Arabidopsis thaliana: one gene and its partner. The protein of the gene in region 1 interacts with the protein of each later gene in a pairwise test. Each region holds a gene or a part of one and is shown in the gene's direction. Other genes may lie near its edges. The genes, in order: AT1G68360 and TINY2.

What was found.
Region 2: the proteins of AT1G68360 (region 1) and TINY2 interact in a two-hybrid assay, tested with the Arabidopsis thaliana proteins (one large-scale study listed by BioGRID).

Annotation. Positions count from the first base shown.
Region 1 is NC_003070.9:25,616,962-25,629,161, reverse strand, and holds AT1G68360 (C2H2 and C2HC zinc fingers superfamily protein), read left to right. Parts: upstream 1-6,568; 5' UTR 6,569-6,749; coding exon 6,750-7,484; 3' UTR 7,485-7,629; downstream 7,630-12,200. Other genes in the region: AT1G68350 (cotton fiber protein), read right to left, coding at 12,158-12,200. UniProt on the Arabidopsis thaliana protein: Probable transcription factor required for the initiation of inflorescence trichomes in response to gibberellin and cytokinin. Acts upstream of GIS, GIS2, ZFP8, and the trichome initiation factors GL1 and GL3.
Region 2 is NC_003076.8:3,721,816-3,734,673, reverse strand, and holds TINY2 (Integrase-type DNA-binding superfamily protein), read left to right. Parts: upstream 1-5,947; 5' UTR 5,948-6,174; coding exon 6,175-6,885; 3' UTR 6,886-7,221; downstream 7,222-12,858. Other genes in the region: AT5G11600 (uncharacterized protein), read left to right, coding at 123-338, 431-501, 604-859.

The DNA of each region.
Region 1 (12,200 bases):
TGAAGAATCATCACACCCCACCATCTTTGTCTAGCTTCATAAAAATGCTTAGAATATATCCGTTAAAGGAGATTTGGACTTAAAAAATCAAATGTCTAATTTTGGTTTTTTCTTCTCAAATATTCAAAAGTCGAGTCTTCCTGATGTGTGGGTTTTAGACTAAATTAATCGAATTTGTGTACCAAAAGCTACATTATAGTTTTCTATAATTAACCCTTTTGTGGGAGAGACTTTGTTTTAAAGTATTTGTTTATAAACCCCATTGGTTGAATCTCACAACTAATCAAACTTTGGTGGGGCATAATTTGATCTTGGAGATCTTATAATTATAATATATAACATCATTTCTATAAAAAAAATTGATAGACTTGACATGGGTACCTAAATGGTGCTAGACAAAAGCATTGAGAGATAGAGAGCTGGTACTTCTATTCGTCAAGAAATAACACTTTTGCCGGGACATCATGTTGTATAATAAAATGGAAGAAGAGATTAGTAACTAAATAATTATTTTTAAAGTCGAGATTAATTATGACTTTAATGAGATTAAACACCACTATTTTCAGATTTTCAAACTTATTGGCTATTGGTTGTCATCAATTTTGGTATATAAACTATTCCACGAGTTGGGATGTCGCCACTTCTTTGGGAAAAAATAGTTTAACCAATTATTAGCTTTGATTTATGCTCGTCGGAAAACATGTGGTAAGAAAATTTCAAAAAGTAGCTTGTAATTAGTAAAGTGAAGCTATGAAATCGTTTCATAATTCTGTTGCTATGTGGTTTATCTATCAAACCATATATAATTTTTACTTAAGTCAAATCTAGTCACATAGTGACATAAAATTAAATACATAATCTAATTGGATTGCATTATCACTAGTACGTGCTTTTACCACCACCTAACAAGAAAGCAAAAAAAAAGGGCAAAAACAAAAAATATTTCATGTACAATTTTATTTTATTTTCTCGCATGGACTATATCTTTTATTTCAATCTAATATAAATTTGACATTTTAATTACCAAAGCATTGTCTAATATCAAAGGAGATAGCCAAAGCCTCTTCACTGTTATAAACTCTATAGTCAGTGAAAACTGGCAAATACTTTAGCCTCATTTTCCTTTTAAACTGGTATTCATTAGTATATATGTTAATTATTCTTTAGTGTCTAAGTCTCAGCCTAAAGTAGTTTTATTTTTAGGTCATATCCTAAAGTTGATCTAAAGAATGCAAAAGTTAAGCCATAAATTATAGGTCAAATTATTATGTGGACAATTGCTGGTGAAACCAGTTCTAAGACTCAAGATTAGTAATTAGCCCAAGAAGATGCAAGTTTGTTTAAAAAATTCTGGAATTCTTGCAGTGTGTTTTACAAAGTGGGACCAACATGGCTTATGGTTCCTAACTTCCTAGAACCCCTACGAAAAAAAAGAACAATAAATAAAGAATTTCAATTTTATGCTCGCAAGAGATAAACAATATGGATCCATAACCACATGTGTAATCCTACATCAGTGGAGAAAACCTAAGTGTCTATGTCCACCCACTTCCTCATAGCTTCTTTTTTCCTCCTTCACTTTATTAGTTTCCAAACTTGCTCCTTCTTTTAAATTGGCAGGACCTAAACCGATATCTTTTTGTCTTCAAATCGTTCGATCCAACTTAATAGATTATACATCCTTGAACATAGATAAGGTTGATTCAAACACAAATATTTGCATTAGCGTATTGTTGGTGACTTGATGGAAAGGCGATTTTTCGGCTGGCGACAATTCAATCATAAACATAGATAAGGTTTCATGAGAATCACCTACAAAAAATCGATTTTGTAACAAGTGGAATTTAAGCGCCACAACCTATGATTAATAGCTCAATTTCTAAAGCGGATCTAGTGTATATATCGTTATAGAAAGGTCAGTTGATCTTAAAATGAGATTCGGTTCAAAATAGACATATAAAAGTCACTATAAAAAAGCGTGTTAGGATCCTACATTTAACATTATAACAGATCTAAGATGATATATAAGAGATCATTTGCATGATGAAACAAAGAATGAGAACTTAATGACTATGTCAAGTTCGGGAAAAAATGACTTATATATCTGGTCCCCACAAGAAAAAACCTATGACTTATATTTGAACTCTTAGATTACATTTTAAAATTAATTTCCGGATAGGCCAATCCTTGTTTTCCTTGTCATAGGATAGGCCAATCTTTATTTTTTTTAGTCATAGGATAGACCTATCTATTATGATTGTATGCGTTTTTTTAAGTAAATATCCATACACATACATGATTAGAGTCCTTGAGTTCCACCAGGAGACGAGAAAAGAACATATTACTCGATGCACAAAACATTATTAACAAAAGTCAAAAACAAAGTTCATTGGATACTCTAAAGATAAAAAGCAGAATGTTAATTGCATGTTGGGCATCTTCTTTGCTTTTAGTTGTTTCCAATAAGAAATATTTGACATATAACATGATTATATTTATAATCATACACCCGAACAAGTGACAATATAATCTTCCTACATATATCAATTGTGCATAGATAATATTTTAGGTCTTCTTTATGCGAAGTCCACATGACATCATGCATATCGAGGAGCGTCTGTTTAGGAATCAATTCTCAAATTCATCCAATATACACATTATATAAACTATTTATGTTATCAGCCTTTTTCGTTACAGCATAAAATATTAGGTCTAGTCTACAAAATTTTGAGTATGTTAATATTAATATACTTATATACATGTTTTGTTAACTAAAAATTAGAAATTTAATTTGAAGCGAATACTAAGTTTTAAACAACATTTTAAGTCGGTTTTTTTTTTCAAACTTTCAAAGATGTGTTCAAGCAAAATCGACGTTTGACAACACTAAAAGAAATGTTTTAGCAAACCCACCGAGCCGAATTCTATGATCATGTGCTCCATTAAAGAGAGATCTCAAGAGATTTAAAAAGATAATAATAATAATTTAAAGCATCTTCCACACACTTCTGAATGAACTTTATAATATCATTTCATATCTATATAACAAATCAATTCGAGTAGGGATTTCTTTCAGTGTGAATTTAATTTCTAGATGACTATTTACGATCAAACTTAATTTATTTACAATTTTATCACCCGTCGTTTTTTCATAGTAAGCTATTGTTGGTATGAGAAGAGATATTAAAAAGAAGATAGACGGAAACAACCAAAAACTAATTATGTAGATTATCGTGGAAGATATAATTAAAAGGTAGACAAGATGGGACATTTCTCCACCCCTAACAAAGACTTTAGTTTTATGAGGGTTCACACAATTATTAATCTTTAGTTTTTGTACAAAGTAAAGCCTTAATCCAATCTCAAACCACCCAATTAACTTTTAATTGAGTTAGTAAGATTCGCAGATCTCTGAGCCCTCTATATATAATTATATTTCCAAGTATTATAATTGATATAGAAAAGGTTATTAACAACGTGTGTGTGTGAATTTTGACGTCAATCACGCGAACATACTCGTGAAACAAGGTTTCGTCATTTGGCACGTAATTCGTGGGGAACATGTTAACATCTGAGACTTTATTTTGGTCGTTCCTCGTTTTTTCCTTAACAAACCCCACTTTTAAGTAGTTTCCACATTACTTAGCTTTCTCTTCAAATTCCTTTTTTTCACCAAACTATCTTTACTTATTCAGAGGTTAAACTGAACATTCTTTCAAATCGAGATTTCGAAAGTTTGATATATGTTTAACTCGAAATTATTGGTACCATAGTTGAATTATGTGCAGCTATAGTAATTCATTATAACTCATTTAAAAATGTTAACCATAGATGGTAAAATAGTAATTTGTGTTTGTAGAATTGCTACGTTCCCATTCAAGTTTAAACCCATATAAAACATTTTTTTGAGAGAACAAAATTACGTGGTAAAACATGTTCAAAAATAAAACTCATTTTTTTATCTATAAACCTAAAAGATCTCTAACATGAGTTTTTATTAATTTATTAAAATGATCGATAATAATTAAAACTCGGTAATCTATAGATTTTAGGGGTTAATCTTCTGTTAAAAAATTACTTATTATAATATTAATATATACATATATATATATATATATATGTTGCAATTTTTTTTTTAATATGTAAATACACTATAACTAAACTCACAACTCACTTTGAAAGCAAACTAAATTATGATAAGTATAAAAGAATTGCGTTGACAATTTTTACCTTAGGCCCCAAAGTGTGGTACATGCAAACATATATTTCTAATATAGTCATAATTAAAGACATCCTTACTAGATGTAAGAAAGTAAATTGCAATTATAGTTCATAAATTTAAGTTATTTGACTTTCATTAAAATTTTGAGATCGTATCTGAAAATAGATACGCACGATAATGCGACGGAGACACGTGGGACACACAGAAGTGAGATGTGGGACTTTTGTTCCTTTTTTATTTTCACATCTTCAATTAGATTCTCATGTTTCTTTGTCACACATTTCAAACTTTTTGGCTTCTGGGTCACTTCAGATCACATCCCACATTATGATTTGTCTTTTTTTCTTTCTCTTTCAATTAACGAAGCAATTTTATGTTTGTGATAACATTTGTTTGCATCTACTCTATCTTGACTTTACTAATCACTTTCCGTCTGTCGGCATCTTTTTACTTTGTACTAATACATATTTTGGGTGAAATTTTAAGTAAAATATGAAAATACTAATTTAAAAAACATAACTGTTGTTCTAAATTTTTGGATGGTTTTAGAAAAAGTTTTTAATTAGTTTTCTACATATATATATTAATTTAATTTAGCCAACTACAAAAAATAAATAAAAAAAAATTGTTGATTAAACGACTTTGTAAGTGATTAACTTGATAAATACTTAAATTTTATGGTCAATTGCATGAGAGTAAAACATTAAAAATACTTAAGATTTAACGAGTTTTCGGTATAACAATCGGTACATTTCGTGGGGACTCTCCCCTCTAAAACATCAACTATAAACTTTGGATTACAAATTCTGTAAGTAAGTCACTTTCAAATCATCATCTGGGTTACAAACCAAGTCGAGATATGGAATCAAGAATTAAAAAAAGAGGAACAATAGGTAACTAAAGAGATGGAATATCAAGACAATAGGTAACTAGAGAGATGGAATATCAAGACAAAAGGAGGAATAATGTATAAGTTAAAATGTTTATGGTCTCTCGACTTACATATGGTATTGAAATTTGGAAGTTACAATAATTATACAAATTGGATGTTATTCCAACTTAGGTCTAGGTATCACGGGACTTTCTTGAGTAGCTTTAGAAACTCTCTCATTGTATTTGTAGGTTAATATAAAATGACTTAGTCTACAGACGACAATACATTCTTAGCTAACAAACAAAATATCCTAAAAATTATTGACTGCTCTAGATTAGATTACCAACTGTCCGGATCAAATTTATTTATAAAAGAAATTCAGATTATATATATTTGTTTTATTCTGAGAAAACGTCAGATGTTAAAGAATCAAGAAAGACCCGTTACAATATCTTGTGAATGTTTGTTCCTTTCGTTTCATTATGAGAGCGCAACAAACTAACACACTATCATGGTCATATTAGCTTATGTGAACAAGAACATAAACTTATGTTTCCGACGTTTTAGTTGGAATTGATAAACAAAATTGGAAAGAAGTCAGAGTTCTAGGAGGAAAATGAGTACTTTATATCTAGGACTAGTTTGATATATAATTCAATATGTTTATTATGGATGAGTTGTTTTGAGATTTAGGCGATTGCATCGTAGAAAAATCAAGTTTTTTTTTGTGGGATATAAAGAGTTTTTTTAAGAATTTGTGAATCTTAAATTAGATTAAGGAGCGCTAGTGTCTTAAACATTAGGTGTACCTCCATGAAATTAAATCTACTAAAACATTTGCCATTAACAAATCTCCGAACTTAGTATGTTGCTGAGAATATATTTGCATCGTAGAAAAATATGTTCAAAAAGTTTGCAAAACAATAAAAAAATATACCAAAACAAATTAGTCTATACAAATTTTTTGTGGTAAATTAAATCTCTCATAGTTACATTTAAAAACTTCTTTCACTTATTTTTAATTTCAAAATAAATAGCAAAATCAAGTTCGTAAATAACATAATTTACATGAAACGCATAGAACGCATCAAATCAATGGTTTTTTACTTTTTTTTATTAATCATTTAGAAATTTATTTTTAAAAAAAGATTTGTAATTTTTTTAAAACAAGTATGTCGTAATTATTATTTTTTGCTTCAGAATCACATTAAAAAGTAGGTGGAAACATATGAATTTTCCCGAAGAGAACTAGTAAGAATAAACACATAAAAGTAGAGCCAAACTGAAACTTCCTTTCACATGAAAAAAAAGGAGACAAATGAAATCCAATAGGGTCCCATTATCCATGTCGTCTCGGTTCGTGTGTTCCTCAAACTCCCACTTTCACTGTTCTTTTTCTTTCTTCTTGGGATGTCCGAAAAATAAAACAAATACGTAGAAAACAAAAACCAAAGTTAATCACACAACAATCTCTCATATCTTTCACACAACACACACTTGCACAGTGTCTCCCATGTTACTGTACAAAGTCACATCTCAGTTTATATAAATATATGCCCTCACTCATCAACCTCCTCTTATTATAAGCCTTATTCAACATATCTCTTTCTTTCTTTCTAATTCTCTCTCTCTCTCTAAAGACATACATATTTAATGGAGGAGCTGGATTTTAGTTCAAAAACAACAACTTCTCGTCTAAAGCTATTTGGATTTAGTGTTGATGGAGAAGAAGATTTCTCCGATCAATCAGTCAAAACTAACCTATCTTCTGTATCACCGGAACGTGGCGAGTTTCCGGCAGGATCTTCCGGAAGAAGTGGCGGTGGTGTACGAAGCCGAGGCGGAGGAGGAGGAGGAGGAGAACGTAAGTATGAGTGTCAGTATTGTTGTAGAGAGTTTGGTAACTCACAAGCCTTAGGTGGTCACCAAAACGCTCACAAGAAAGAGCGTCAACAGCTTAAACGTGCTCAGCTTCAAGCTACACGAAACGCAGCCGCAAATTTCTCAAACGCTGGATCAGCGTCTCAGTTTTTAAGGAATCCTATAGTCTCTGCTTTTGCTCCTCCGCCTCATCTTTTATCATCATCCGCCGTGCCTCAGCCTATGGGAGGTCCTTGGATGTATCTTCCACGTGTTTCTCCATCTCAACTTCACGTGTCTCATGGCTGCGTCATCCAAGATGGTTCGGGTGGTGCGGGTGCTGGTGGGTTCTCGTACGAGTATGGGGCTCGTGATTCAGGGTTTGGAGTAGTTGGGGCTCAGATGAGACATGTTCAGGCCCATGGGCCGAGACCATCGGTTAATGGGTTTTCAAGAGAAGTAGGAACTACTTTTGATGATGGTTTAGGGTTGGATTTGCATCTCAGTCTTGCACCTGCTGGTCATTGACGTGTTTTTTAAAGCTCTTGTATATTTATCAACATTTTAATTAATTTATTTATTTTTAGTGATTTTTTTTTTCTCTATCAGTATTTTTAATTAATGACTTTAAATTCCAGTGATTGTTTGCCTAATAAATATTTTACTAGTTTAGACTCCAATTATGCTTTACTACCACAAAAAGTAGAGTCTCAAAATGCTTAACCAATTCATGAAAAAACATTCCAGAAGGTAATATTTGTTGAGACTCCAAGAAAAAAATATAAACAATAGGACCAAAGACTAAAAATATAAAAATAAACGTTAGGAGATAAGTTGTCAGGTGCACTGAAAGTGATTTTATAGAATGTATGTTTAAACACATACAAAATAATAATTCCAATATTCAGATCCATTAGATCAATCGTTTTTCAAAGCCTTTTTATTGTCAGGCCAATAGAATGCAAAGATGAGTATGAAAACTCTACACCTTTACTCACAAATTTGCTTCAAAATTGTGCTTAAAATTAGTCAAAAGGGACACGCTGCAACCTTTTTCGGATTGCGTTTGAAATTGATACGCCTTCAAATCTGTTCTGAAGTCCTTTTTTTTTTGGACAAAAGCTGTTCTGAAGTCTATGCACAAATTACTTTTGGAATTCTCACAGTTTTGACATATTGGTTTTTAGAACCAAAGTATAGAAAATTATTACTTTAGATTCGAAAATTGTTGGTAGGCCTCTGTTTTACAACAATGGAAAAAGTTAATCTACAATTAGCATCGTAGTAATTATGTACAGCTTTAGTGAGTTTTGGTCTATGGTCTTGTTAGTCGATTACACAGTTTTGTTAGAATTAAATTTAGTAGATTACCCAATTTGGTTAGAATTAAAATTACTTCTCTAACACAATTTGGTTATAATTAAAATTTTCTCATATTTAGGGATTGTAGGACCACTATAATCTTTTGGTCAATATGATTCAACTCCAGGTTTTCAAAGTCAAATACTCTCAAATCTTCAGTTAATTATTCCCTTTAGGAGCATACATGTAACCACTAGCAACGGCTATAAAGAGAGATGTCAACATACATAGAGATAGAGTTTTGGTATGTGCAATCTACATGCATATACAAACCCGGGTCGAAAATACAATTTTTTAAATGATTGTGACAACGTGATACGTTTTCTTCGACTTTAAATATCACTAGGCTCCTATATATCTCATAATTAAGGCATACAGGTACTTATATAATGGAGGTATCTTACACTATGCTAACATTTTGTTTATTCTTAAAACATATATTTTCTAACGAATGTGGATATGTAATACCAAAAGAAGAACAATTTTTAATAATAAAATAGCTTACCTCAACATTTAGAAAATACTACATGTCACAAGCTAGGAAGAATCCTCGGGTCCCCGAATTTGAAATTATAAAATTAATTTAATTAACAATCGTATACTAATATGTAGGGGGTATAGGTATACCAGCGCATTTCGTGTTTCAACATGAAATGGGATCCTAGTCACCATGAGCAAATAAAATATACATGACCTAAAGCATATTTGTTTTTTAGATACTTAACAATGCAATTGGCACATATGTATGTGTCTATGTGTGTTTATAGTAAGGTGTGATGGGAATTGGAGCAGTTGAGTATTTATATACTTATAAGTTTAGAAAGTAGTTTTGAACATTGCTTGGTTAGAAACTTTTTTTTTGGTTTATTGTGTAGTTAGACACTTAGATGATGTGTTGGGGTAAAATTTTAATCTGCACGTAAAACATTTCTCTACCGGTCAGGGAAAAGTACGTTTCCATTATTTCAGAAAAGTTATCTTCCAAATTTCTCAATTAGAGAGACGTCATCATTAATTAGTCGACGATCCTACAAAACTCAAATTATTTTTCCCACTGAATACAAAAAACAAATATGATGAATTGTGTACATATACATTTCAAGTGTTATCTGTGTCTTTTTTTGTTACGAAATAGCTATCTCATCCGCATCATCGAAAATTCTGCCTTTAACCGCGTAGTCTCACTCGGGTACCAAGAATCCAGCGAATATAGAGATTTTCTTTGTCAATATTTCCATACAAGAGGATTCTCTTAAACATTATTGTTCTATTCTTTTCTACTTCTCTTCTCTCTTTTTTTTTGGGTGGCATTCTACTACTCTTCTCTTAGCAATAGTCTTTAATTTTTTTTTTTTTTTTTTTAATCAGTAAACTTCACCTCAAAAAAATAACAATATTAAGTGTATGTTTCATGTTTGTATATGTAAAAGGTACTTTTTTTGGAGGGAAAGTTTTTTCGTAGTCCCTAAACGTGCTTTTTTGCTGCACCATGTGTCCTTTTTAAGGAATCATCTAAGTCCTTATCACACCATCAATCATGCAATATATACACCCTAATCTAAAAGATACCCACTAAATTTTTTGCTCTTGAGGGTACGTCTTATTTATGCTTTTGCTTTACCAGTCTGACAATTACACATATACATTGCATATAATCTCATTGGCTTACAATATCAAAAACATTGGATCTTCAATAATGTATCATGCATGCACATATGCATCACCACCTAACAAAAAATCGAAAATAATAGAAAACAATGATTTCGGCTTTATTATACACAGTCGCAGTAGACAGTAGTCTAGACTTTTAACCCTAGCTATATTCTCCAATAACACATGGGAGAAAGTATAATGTTTTGTATGGTCCTCATCATGCATTAGGAGTCCACTTGTATCATACATGCGCTAGTAGTTATTAATTTTGTTCACGTTAAGAAAATACCATAATTTGTGTAATATTTTTTTTTTAAAGATAAACGAAATTCTCTTCCCCTTATCTTTTTGTTTAATTTGTAAGAAAATTTGTTAAGTTAACTTGTAATTTCTAACTGATGTTTCGAATTTTTTTCTAACCCACTTTTTTTTTTTAATCTAAGTTAATTTTTTTTATAAAAAATATTTAAATTCTCTTCCCCAAAAAGTATTTTTAAAAACTAAAAGATTGATATAATAATTTAACTTGGTAGTTTAAATAAACGAAAAATAAATAGAAAATATGATTGAGTATCTGAAGAACCATTATCATATAACTTCTATGCGTAAGCTAATCGATTTATTTCGGTTGATGGTGGATTAGCGGAAGCATGGAGTCAGGCCGTTGTGTTGGTACAAGTTATTTAACACATGTTTTGTTTCCTTTTACCTCTTCAGCTCCTCTAAGAAACCAAGAATTAGTTGTGGGTATAAGAGTAATGTGGAGATAGGTTAGTGGTTAAAGTACGTTGTGGTAGGTTAGGGACAAGCACTAATATGACAATTCAGATTCCATCTAAGAAACACGATAGGGCTTACGTGGAAAGTGATACGGACATGTGAAAGCAAGACAATCCCTAGGGTTTAGCTTTTGTTGACATGAAATATGGAAAGAGAAGAAAGATGCTGTGGATGTGTGTCGAAGCCTCGTTGGTTCCAAGTAAGTCTGTGGCTTAAGTATATCCAAAGAAAGTTCCTTTCTCTCTTAACGTTTTTACAATGTATTTACAATTATGATGTCGATAGATCAATTCCATATATGATAAGAATAAAGTACTAGATCTTGTCGGGATACACCTTTTTCCCCTTTTATATTCCAGATTCCCGTTAGTTACAAAATTTGATAAACAAATGACAAAGTTACATGTAATATGTATAAGAAACAACCGAAATGACATTCCATGCGTTCCATTAGAACGCTTCACGTAATAAGTGTATGGATTTGAATAGAACAAAACTTTTGAATAAGAAACAACCCAAATGACATTTCATACGTTCCAAGAACATTTCTAGGTCGAGTTTTAAAAATGTTGATTGGCTTGCGTATAGGCACAATCCAAGAAGAAACTATAACTTTAAACTCACATGGGGTGGGACGTAATGTGTGCTCGTTTTAGTTCATTGCTTAAGTCGTTGGTCCACATAAAGATATATCTTTTGAGAATCGAAGTGGCATGAGGACCCAAGAAAAGAAAAAACAAAAGTGCACGTATGTACTTGTTCGATACATACATAACAAATAATATACTATCAATTATGTAAACTCTTGAAGTGGACTAGCGTACGATACTGTCCTACCGGTTTCAGAAATAAAAGTGGTAAAAAGACATGTCTTCCTCTTGTCGATCTCTCATTCGTTGCTCCATTACGTCTTCCTTTTTTCTCCTCGTATAAATGTATCTAACTTGCGTCTAACATGCGAACATGCAAAAATTGGGTGGCCCAATAGACTAGCTAAGGCATACGGCATACCCATAACAATTTGTGATTAAAATTGTTGGAAAATGGCATTTGCCCATAACAGTTAATGATTGAAATATTTAGGATTTGGATTACAAAAGGCCCCAATTAAACGAAAAACTTCCAGAGAATAAAGACAAACACTTAAATGGGCCAACTTCTTATTCAACTTCAAGAGCCTAGTTCTAATTAAATTCTTATAGAATCAAATCAAGGAAATGATAGAACTTCAAATTGTAAATGGATAGAATCAAATACTCAAATAGAGCGAAATAACTGAGTCTCCAAGATCTTAAATATGATGTGGAGACAATTAACAATACCAATCACGTGTAAAAGAAAACTAACACAAGTAGAAAAGAATCCCAAATTCAAAAAGTAATTAATAACACTTGACATTTGGTCAATCAAGCAAATTCTCGCGCCTGCATTCTCATCTCATCATAGAAC
Region 2 (12,858 bases), on another chromosome or scaffold:
GAAAATTTTATTGTTAAGACTCGGATTCGTTGTAGATCGAAGTTTTCATCATGACGTGGTTTTCGGATATTTTGGTTTCTAGGTCGAACTTGTAACATATTTTCTGCAAAACTTTTGTGAAGGCAAAGCCCAAAGTACCTATAAATTCAGTGAAAACCATAGCAACAACATCTGCAGCAGCGAGCTTGGTGAAAGGGAAAGCGCAAACAACATCTACAGTAGTGAGCTTGGTGAAAGCGAAAACAACATCTGCAACAGTAAGCTTGGTGAAAGGGAAAGCGAAAAGAGAGAAGAAGGTTTATTCATTAGCTGGACAAAAGTTTGATCCTCCTGAAGAGGTTATTAGACATCTTTAATGATTGCTTTATTAGATCTCTGTTTTATGATCATGCTCTTGATTCTTGGTTTATCTGTCTTTTGCATTTTGCAGAGAGAGCCCTTGAGGATATTCTATGAATCCTTGTCGAAACAAATACCTGGGAGTGAAATGGCTGAGTTCTGGTGAGAAAAACACTATTGACAAGTCATTATGATGAACTTCTAGTACATTGTCTTGGCTCATTTATAGCTAAAACTTGAATGGTTATAAATGTGTTGAATCAGGCTTATGGAACATGGTATGTTGTCTCCCGAAAAGGCGAAGCGAGCCTTTGAGAAAAAGCAGAGAAAAATGAAGCAAATTCGAATGGGGACACCGAGTAAATCGGCACCAACGTTTTCTAGTAAAGCGGAGAGTTCTCAAAGAACATCTGCATCCAAGAACAACGGTTTAGATGCGAGAAAGAAGAAGAAAGTCGTCGATGATGATGACGATGATGATGATGATTTCATCCTAAGCCACAAGAGAAGGAAAGTGTAAACCATACAAACTTGTTATTAGGAAAAAATCGAATAAAGTGCTCAGAGATCGTTGCTGTATATGCTCAAAATGTTGTTCATGATTGAGGATGTACCATGACACAATAGTTCAGTATAAAGTTTTAGTAAAGCATGAATAGTATAACTTTTGAATTGATCAAATTTTCATATCTATGAGTCTTCCATAGTTTTTTTATATCCTTAATCATTTGATCTTTCATGAACACAGCATCACTTTTCCTGACAAGTTTCATCTCACAAGATTACAGAATCTATATGTTTAATGTTTCTTTCGCCATCTCTTTTCTTAATTAGGAGCTAAACTTTTGAAAATTTGTTTGGTTAATTTTTTCAAGAAATATTCAGTTTTAGTTAATATATTCATATTCAAACCATCCTAATCTCTAACCATTTGTTTCTCTTAAACGACTTAGAAACAAATTCTATTACACAGCCGAAAATGTCATCTACCAATATAAAATTCAGAAGATTTTAATTGTGTGCCTCTAAAAACAACTTTTTGGAAAATATTGATCAAAGTCACTGTGCGGCTACTATATCATGAAACAAGCAATTGCATGTGACAAACTAGCAGCAGGACTGAAGCTGTCGAAATAGTCAGGCACTCAATAGTCAAGACCTTCTTCAATTTCCCTGAATATCTTCTTTCAATAATGATTTGTTTTCTCTGCCGAAAAATTGGGTGTAAATGAAAGAAAAAAAACTAGAAGTGGGCAACAATAAATGGTGATGGTGAATTTTGACTGTTGATATTTGATGTACTTTTTGAGTCAGGATCATGTTTTCTTTGTATGTTTTGTCCGTCTCTTACACAATCTTATGATTTCTAACTTTTCATCATTTTAACCTGTCATAGTTATATATGTGTGTCATGGATTAGAAAAAGGTAATTGAAGAATCATCTAATACATCGAAAGGTCTAATCTTATTAAATGATTTTTATAACGGTAATGAAATGAATTCCCTAGAGTGGTCACAGTCTTTTTTAAGACTGGTCACACTTATCTATCAACAATCTTAAAATAAATAGTAGCAATCAAACGATTACTCATACATCGTCAATCCCAATAATATGACTTTCTATAATACTGATGTGAGTGTATATGATGTAGGTTATTTTTTTTGTCGACTGTTTTTCTCTTCCATTATAGGGAATCATGAGTGTATAATTTTCTGTAGAGTAAATGAAAAATATCTTATGTATTCCGTTATTTAATTGACCACCAAGATTCGTAACTGCGTGCACTTGATTTTGATTTTACTTATCAAATAATTTCGTGCTAATTCATCTGAATTAACCAATATTGCTAAGCTCGCGTGACAATTGGTCGTATAATCGTCGTATTCGGGCTAATGTTCCTATTATCTCCATCACACAGTCGTGTCGGTGTTTTAGATTTTTCAACAAATTTGTACATTATACTAAATTCATTTATTCTAAAACCAATAAAATCTTAAATTTATGTAAAATCTTCATGACAACGAGTCATGATTCTTAATTATTTTTGTCAGTCCCAATCTAAAATGAAATAGCTGACACGTATTATCAAGGTCGAATCCAAAATATGATACGATAACGACCGCAATGATACAAAGAGGGGTTTTGAACTAATTAACTGATACCGTACGTTTTTGTATTTTTCATCAGCATATATTACGTTGTTAAATCAACAAAGATAGCGAAGCAGATTAATATCGTTTTCCATGTTTCATCGACCAATATTTGATTAATTAGAATACTTTTAGCAATTCAAGATTTTTATGGGTCATAATGACAATCATTTGCGTGTTTCGTTGACTAGTACTATACTCTCTAAAGCAAAAACATGTTAAGAGTAAATGTCCTACATCTCGACGTGTCTTATTTTTCTCTGTCTGTCAATTTTTGTCTCTCAATGGAACATACACAAGATAGTGATACATATATATGTTGAATAGGGAATAAAACTACACACCATATGATATTAACTTCAATTTAATTCTATGCTTATTCGTCAGAGAAGAATCTGGAGAGCATATATATGTATATTCTCTAACTTCAATATAAATGTGTTTTCGTCTGAAAACAACACAATGTATACCTCCGTAAAATTAATTAAGCCACCTCAAGTCTAATTAGTATTCCATCTACTATCACTTTAGTTTTTGTAGTTGGGATGGTCTAACGATAGGACAACTTACGTGATAGAAACGGGTGAAATAAACTGTAAGAAACTTACAAAATATTATTATGCCTTATCAGAAACGTAAAAAAAAAAAAAAAAAATGATGTGAGGTGGTAAAATAAATGGGAAAATATCAGTGTACATTTTGTAAAAAAATGTTGCAGTTGAAAAATTTAATATTCAAAAATTGAGAAAAAATTTGTTTAACAGACTTGGCTTGATTTTCTGTAAAACTAAATAAAATTCCATCACAGATCTATCCAATACAAATTATGACAAAATCGTTAAAAAAAAAAAAAAAAAAAAGAGTTCACAAAATCGTAAGAAAATACCAGAGATTGTATAATAATTGAACTCAGACCCTATAATGTTTGTTTGTTAACGTTCTTTGACCCCTTTTCTTTTTATTTAACGTTCTTTGACCGTACTATATATCTCTAAAATCTTACCAAATGACGAGAACACAAACCAAGAACATGTCTCTTTCCTGTATAAAAAAGAAAGAAGAAGAAGATGAAAAGTTCTATTTCCAAAAGGCTTATTTTGGACCCTTTGAAAAAAAATCGCCTTTATAGTCTCTGTATTTTATTTTATTTTATTTTGCCTAATAAAACCATAGTCGGAAGATATAGATATTTGGTTTTGTCTGCCTAAATAAACACAAATAAAATTGACCAAAAATAAAATAAAGTAAATTACATAAAGATGTTTTTTCCCCTCTATTTACAAGTGGGTCTGCTTCGTTTATTGCGAAGGTCTTCATTAATGGTCAGTGTCTGAAATGAGTAAAAAGAAGCTTGAACAATCTTGTAAAATGGAATAACGGATACGAAGGCAAATAGCATAATTAAAATCCTTTAAAGATCCTTACCCAAAAAAAAATTAAATCCTTTATAGCTGATAAAATCTAAGATGTTTTAGACATTTTATTTGGTTTCATATTACAAGATGTTTTCCAAGTTTATAGATAATTTAAATATATTTGTTATTTGTGACCATTTATATTATGCAGTATTTTATATTATTAGTTGAATTTTATTAAATCAAATATAAAATAAAGGTTTTAAAAATAAAAAAAAGTTCTTTTTTAATTAAAACATCTTATATTTTGAAATATAGTGAATAATTTTTCTTTTTTTCTATTTTTTCATTCATTACTAGTTAGTTTTGACTTTTAAATAGAGGTTTCAAAATTATTTAATGGTTTTGTAATCCGATTGATTTCATAAACTGTTCTCGTGTTCTAACAATATTTTCAAAACAATTAAACTATTTTCGTTCTCGTCTTAAATAGACTTGTAAGAATCTCACATAAAATCTGTTTAACTAGGATAAATATAAAGCAAGAGTCAATATATTCATGTCAATAATTTTTGAATTAGAAACTTGTAAACTCTAAAACCTTTGTTGACCAGTTTTTTTTTTTTTTTAGTAAACTTAAGATGATCAATATTATTGTTAATTAGTATTACGTATATGATCAATATAAAATGCATATACGTATTGCTGAAACGAGAGGCGAAAATACAAACAATTCTCTTCATTGCAAGTACTTAGACATTGCTATTACTTGTGAAAAATCCAAAATGATTATTAAGAGACATTATTTTTTCGTCATTAAGAGACATTTTTTTGGCATGATTATTAAAAGACTTTAGTGTATGTGTATATTTGACAGACACTCGTCCTTCCTTATAGGTACGCAAATACGACCCCATGATTGAACAAGTTATTGTCCCTTAAAATTTCTTGAAGTTTCCTCTACAAACTTCTTTTCTTTATTTGCAATATTGTACCTCTAATTTTGGGGGCTTTTTTTTTTAGTTTGGAAGCAACTTTAACCTAATTAATATCAATTGGCTGGTAGATTTCTTTCTTTTATGGGTCTTACGCCCATATATTTTCTAAGACCAGGACAGAGGTATTAATTATCAATTTACTTACGGTTAAACCCCCTTTAGTACACCTTTTCAAGTCTAAGTATAAAATATCCTCTCAAATGAAATCAGTACAAATTGTGCAATTAATCACACACCATTTGGTGTCTCGAAAAAAAACACTCAGTTACAAATTTCTCCAAAATTTAAAATTTAGCCTCGAAGCATATGGTTTATTGGTTAAGACAAGTTCCTTTAATTAGCCCTCGATATATATAACTAAAGTAAACATATGATACTTACTAAAAAAATTTCCTGAATAAATCTTCAAAAACTGTTGACATTCATATAATATGTTTATAGAAAATCAAAATTTGAAAGACAATAACTCTATATCCGTGTAAATAATATGTATATTAATTCTGATCAAAACTAAATTGCAATTATGGCATATCATATATGTGGATACATATTGCCTTCACATGATGAGCATATATATATACCAATATGTAAATAGGAATGTATGATCCAATGAGTCGAAGATCAAGGTAAAGGATAATTAAACAGTAAAACTGAGGTGAAAATTATCTTACCACACAAAACAAAAAAGGCTTGTCTCATCATGTTCATCTCGGAGACAACTTTCATATAATTTACGTACCCGGCCGAGACAAAATCTCTTTTCAACACTGCCCTTCTAAATATGGTCGTCTCATAATCTTTTAATATACTGAAAAGTATTTTGTTTTCCTAATTTAGTTGCATAATGAGATTTTAAGAACCGGGAAAAATATTAAAGCAAACAGTGACCCCAAGTGTGTCGTTTTATACTAATAACAATATATTCACAATATAGAAATAGAGTGGGTCTGTGAGAAAAACAAAAATAAATGGAGCCACTGGGTCCATTTCCTTTATTCAATTAGACTTATTGCATTGTTTTTGGTCCCATTCCCTCTCTTCTAACCCGTACCCAAATATATTAATGCATATATAAATATTTTGAGTGACTGAGAAATGATAGCCAAAATTTTACCAACATTTTTCTCTTCTCATATCAAAGTTTCTCTCTCATTTCTTCATCACACTTCACTGCCCTGTTTTTTTTCCTCATTTTGAATAGTTCTCAAACTTATATATTTTTCCCCCTGAAGCCTAGCTATTTCTTTTTATTTGCATTAATCTCGGGATCCGAATCGAAAAAAGCAATCAGAATAATAGACTTGTACGATACTTGTGCCTAAGCTAACACAATGGCAGAGGAATACTACAGCCTCCGCTCGGAGAGAGTAACTCAGCTTCTTGTCCCTAACTCGGAGTCTGACTCAGTGAGTGACAAAAGCAAAGCTGAGCAAAGCGAGAAGAAGACTAAACGTGGGAGAGACTCCGGTAAACACCCTGTTTATCGCGGAGTAAGGATGAGGAACTGGGGAAAATGGGTGTCGGAGATTCGTGAGCCGAGGAAGAAATCACGTATTTGGCTGGGAACTTTCCCGACGCCGGAGATGGCGGCGCGTGCACACGACGTGGCGGCTCTGAGCATTAAAGGAACGGCCGCTATACTAAACTTCCCTGAACTCGCTGACTCATTCCCTCGACCCGTTTCATTAAGCCCTCGAGACATTCAGACAGCAGCTCTTAAAGCAGCTCACATGGAACCGACGACGTCGTTTTCATCTTCCACGTCTTCGTCGTCGTCTTTGTCTTCTACGTCTTCGCTCGAGTCTCTTGTGTTGGTGATGGACCTCTCGAGGACTGAGTCGGAGGAGCTCGGTGAGATTGTGGAGCTTCCAAGTCTCGGGGCGAGTTACGACGTCGACTCGGCTAACCTTGGGAACGAGTTTGTCTTCTATGACTCAGTTGACTACTGTTTATATCCGCCGCCGTGGGGACAGTCGTCCGAAGATAACTATGGTCACGGAATTAGCCCTAATTTTGGCCATGGCTTGTCATGGGATCTCTAACAGTTTATTTTGTATCATTACCATAATGTTTTGTTTAAAACAGTTTATTTTGTATCATTGCCATAATGTTTTGTTTAATCACGTTTTTAAAACCCTTTGCTGTTTTTGTTTTTTTTTTGAGTTTTTTGGTGTTAGCTAAGAAAGGTTTTTTTTTTTTTTTTTTTTGGAGCGGGTGTGAGCTCCATAATGATACGTGTACAAAACTCTATTTGTGTTTTTTTTTTGTAATATATAAATATCGGGTTTTTTTGTCGGAAAAGAAGGGAAAATAAAGTGATTTTTTTGTAAGTATCATCAAATGAATAAGCGATAAATAAAAGTCCACTAACTTTATGATATTGTAATAATGCAAATCATCAAAATTTAAAAAACTGTTCAATGTTTTTGTTTTTGTTTTCTTTGACAAAAAAAGTTTTTTTTTTAAAATTATAGGAAATATCTTTAACCATTAATTGTAAATTAGAGTCTCACTATCCCATTCATTTTTGTTTTGTCGACATAAATGGAACGGAGAATGTGAGTTAGGGTAAAAAATGAGGGAAAACACAAAGCAAGAGCAACTTGTCCAAGCTGACGCAAACAATACACAGCCACATATGTACATCCATGCAATACTTTATTATCATCTATTAGTATGTTAATGACCATAATTTCCCACTTTAAAAAATTTGTTAGACAATATAGGCCACACAAATATCATACAACTCGTTCTATTTTAGAATTAAAAAGAGAAAGGCTTATGATAAATTCAGATCTGATTAGCCAGCTCCACAGATGACTTTTTTTTGTTTGTGTTCTTATTCTACGATATGTTAAGATTAAAGACTAATTTATCAAAATTTCATAATGATCATCAAATAAAAAAGAATGTATATATCAAGAAATAGATTAATATTAAAATGAATGAGCATCTATTTAATTTCCACATATAACTTGGATCCCTAAAGGGAGTTCCTCCTCTCTTCATTTTATGTCTCCACATCCAATTTTCTTTATAGCCGAACTTTTGTCGTACCACCACCGTTGTGGCGTCACTATTTGCTTGTGCTTAAATTAAGAAGCTAAATAGGATTTAAGATTTTGGTATTAGGGTTTATGATTTTTTTTGTTCTCAAGATATAAGATGATCATTTGGAGCTAGAGTTTAGATTTTGTCATCTAAGATTTAGATTTATTTTTTTATTCACACAAAAAAAATTGAAAACTATCACTGAATGATGAAAACGACTTGCAATGTTTTACATGAGAAACTTATGAAAGTTTAAAGTTTCTAAAAACGTGTGAAAGAAATAAAACTTACTGAAAAAGTTTCTAAAGAACTAAAGTTTATAGTGATATTATTGGAAATATATACTACAATAATAAACAAGAAATTTTGAAAAGTGTTGAAAGTTTGTTAAAAGTTTTCGAACTGAGAATGTCCGTTAATTATTACTCTACAAATGTGAACAGCATCCATCGACATTTTTATTTTTTAACGTCCAATGTTTAAAAAGACAAATTAATTCAAGGGTAATTCTGTTAAAGCAAAATGAGAATGTTATTTTCGAAAGACGAAATGTAAATGTAGCTTAAAAAACTAAAAGGAACTAGTTGACACGAAAAAGTAATTACCCCTAAAATAAATGTAGGCTAGCTTAATATTTATTTGAATCTATATGACAAGAATGACGAATGATCATAATATGACATATTTAGTCCTGTCACAGGCATATCTTTTTAACTTCCAACATCTCGTTTTTAGGATAATTATAATCATGAAAAAGAGATGTGATGATCCATAAACTACTTGGTCTAAAGTGGAATATCCATGAAATTAAACTGTCTTAGTCATTGTTATGCTACTTGAGGTTACATATCAATTATGCTGATCTCTTTAATAAAATGTAAAATGTGTCTAATAGTTTGCAAACTCCAAAAGTTTTTGTAGATTACAACATGATATCTTGTTTATAATAAGATATACAACGACAAGCTTCGTCCAGGATAAAGACTAGTGTCTTTTTCTGGTTAAAGATAAAGATAGAGACTGTTGTTACCATTTACCAAACAAATACAGTAATGATGTCACTGACACCGTTTAAAACATATTAAAGATTTTGGATTTACACCTTAAGACTTTCTTACGAGAGGGTGGGACATGGAACAATGATTCATATTCTTATCTGTTAATTATATATCATGATTTTTATATATAATATTCCATTTTTTTAGTCAATGTATAGAGTGAAAAAATGACATTGTATAACAGTTAATTAGTTGTTACGTGTTTTTTTTTCTCTCTAGCTGTTTCATGTTTACATTGCCTTTTATATAGTATCTTTTTTTTTTTTTCTGGTGGATATTATTAACGGATTAATGGATTTTAGCAGCGCTTAATTCCACGTTCTTTTAGCAAATCTATGATCAATAGTAAAAGCATGAACAAAATATACAACTATATAAAAATTTGACTCAGCAATCAGAGTTCCGACCCCGAGTGAGATAATTCTTCGTAATCAGGGAATATATTCAAAAGAGGTAACCTGACTCGTACAAGCAAACCGATATATGTTTTCTATTTAAACACCTCACTAAATATCAGATTAGTTCAGGACCATCCCTTAACCTAACTTAAAACTAGACTGCTAAAGAAAATTAGTACTAAGTTAGTGTAGACCATCCCTTCACCTAGTTTAATATGATTCGATCAATGTCAGATTGAGTTGATTTTGGTTCATAATAACTTGACGGTTTCATTGGATTTTATATCCACGAAACGTAGCCCCTACCTATATATTCCCCACTAACTATTAACGAATAATTAAATTAATTCATTAGGTTTTATTAACGACAGTATACCACGCAAATCTAGAGTGGATCCGACATAACTTTCTTGCATATCTTTTGTGAGGTATTGAAATTCTTAAATCAAATTTATCTGTGTCTAATGATGGGACTATGCTAAACTCCAAAAACGGAAAAGGAATTATTGACTCCTTTAGTACTTTATTTTTAGATTTCGACCAAAATCGTCAAAAATGACTTTACAAATGCTGAAAAATTAAAGGGTATCTGAACCACTTGAAATTCTCCACTAATATGCTTTGGTCTAAATATCTACGGATCAAGTAAGTCGGCAGGTTAATCACGTTTAGTGGACTAATTTAATTGACGGTGACCATTAATTAGAGTTGAATTTACATATATAAATCATTAGAATAAACTAATAAATATTAGGCTAGAAAACTGATTTAACGGTCGGTCAGCCATGCATGTTATTTGGCGTATTCATCCGGTTATGTAAACTATAACAGCAAACGCCAAATGCAATGTGCGTTTACTTTGTAATGATAAAATTTATGTAGAATTTTAAATTGCAAATGTGATTTGCTTATCTATTAAAACATATGAACGCCAAAAGTTTAACGTTTGAGACAATTGTATCCTACCTAAAAACATAGAAATATACATTTAGAATCTTATGAATGTGCATGTACCATTATATCTCCAAATCTTTTGTCCATTATCTTCTTTTTCGTCCATTATCTTTCTGTATTAACAAATTAAAATTGATATATTATGAAGAATATATACTTTTATTGTATGTTGAATTAACATATAATAATTAATGTTTTTTATTGTATATATGTAAAAAGATCACAAAGCAAAAAAAAAAAAAAAGAGGACAATAATGAGAACAGCAAAGACCCATGGCAATAGCAACATACAATTTTATAAACTCTAATACGTCCGTATTAATCAAAGCATTGCCTTTTAAAAGACAATATTCTTTGTGGAAAACCTTTTTTTGCCGGTTGCTATTTCAAGGAGGATGCTTTTAATTATTGTTTTGTACAAATATCTTGGGTTAGTGCTACTTGATTTAGTAATGTTGAGTATTATTATAATATGCAAAAAGTGCTAGACAATAGGTAGTAATTTAACGTGTAATGTCTAAGCGATTATAGGTATCGAATAGTTGATAGACAATCATATAATAGTGTTGAAAAAGATAAATTTTAAAAGAAAATTACAATAAACATTTGACAATTTACACTACATGGCTATATAATTTATATAGATTATAAAATACTACTACTATCCAAAGTTGCGCTCACTTTAATTAGCTTATTCTACAATTTAATATAGAGCAGAAAATATCTAACAAAATAAATTAGATAATACATAGGTATATGCATATTAATAAATTATTTTGCATAAGAATTAGAACGTTTTGAGTATCTAGACCGTTTGATTGAGCAAAAAAATGGCTTAATCACTCGTCCAACCATCTAAACAGCTAGTTAGATGGCTTAACCATTTGTTGAAACTGATCGATTTAGACGCTTGATATCAACCAATGAAACCACATAAGCTGCTTAAATGCATTCCGTGTTATTTAGCTACCTTGAGACAAAAAATGATCGAATAGAGTTTAGGCGTACCTGATCTTGTTTCTAGAATACAAAAATTTTAAATTCTTCATAATTTCTAAATAAAACTTATAAGAGTATTAAATCCTAATTTCTATTATTTATATCCACCTAATTTAAAATATATCTAACACTCAAACCAATATGTAAAATTTCTGGAATGAAGCCTCCTCGCTCCAACAAGGCATTCTAAAGATAGCCAGCTCACCTCTCCAGACTCCAGCTATATATGGTTCAGCCGACCATTTCCTTGTGCACAAGCTAATTGGCACCAGTACACCTCCCTCTGTTAGGTTGAAATTGGCACAGTAAAACAACTAATAATAAGAAAATAATGGAACAAAAAAAAACCTAATAACTAAATTAAAATATAAAACTAGTACAATGTAGATAATAAAACAAAGAATAATACATCAATGTATTAAATATACGTTGCGTATATGCTTCCGTGTGTCCAACACATTTGAATTTGTGTGTGTGGCTGTATTCAGGTATTAAGTGGTTCGAATCGAGATAGAAGTTGTGTCTCATGACCCTTTTTTCTGGGTTTTTTTTATCCAACAGACATGCCGCTTCAGATATATAATAAAAATTGTATAGAACATATTCATATATGACTCATTTTAGAAAAAACAAAGTTCTATATATACTATGACGCACTAGACTATATGGATTAGTATACGCTTGTCTGAATTAGATTAATTCAGATGAATATACGTAAATCTAATCACAATATAGACTACGACGCAATGTACTGATGTACATATGTAAAACAACGAAAAATCACGAAAGATACATATTTTTTTTTCCCAAAATAAAAAACCACGAAAAATCAAACAATAACACAAATATATTAATCTTGCAACAGCTGTTGCATATATATCTAGCCAATTTATTTTATTTTTAAAAACGCGTACCGTATATTAGTTTCAGTTACTAGTATAATTAACTAAATGATCAAATCGTATAATAGTTAGCTAGCAAAGTTATTTAAAATTTATATTTAGTTAATGCAAATGGCCATAGTTAACACTTTTATTTTGTCAACTAGTTAGCACTTTTTCTTTTGTAAATATAAGTGTATTCAATGATTTCAGATTAATTATCTATTGACGCACTTTCTTTTTTTAGCAAAAAAATGTATGTTTTTCCCCCCAGTATTAATACAAGTAATACATTATTGATGTACTATTCTCCCACAGGGGAATATAGCTTGAGAAATGCATAATGAAGAGTAAACATGTCATTAGGTATTAGCAATATACATATATACCAACTTCTAAAGATATTAATTATGTTTAATTTCTCTTAACTAGAAAATACAAAAAACTATATAATTTGAGACCTTCCTTCCATACTAATTATAAAGAACTTCTAAAACGCGTATAGTAATCCTTTCCAAACTCAGCATCTAAATTCGAATTCTATATATTTCTACTTACATTAATAGTGAGTTGGCAATAAAATGATTACATTGACATTATATATTGGAGAATTTAATACGAAAGGACATTGCAATGGTTGTTGCCTTGTTAGATGATTTTTTCTTGTCCTGCAC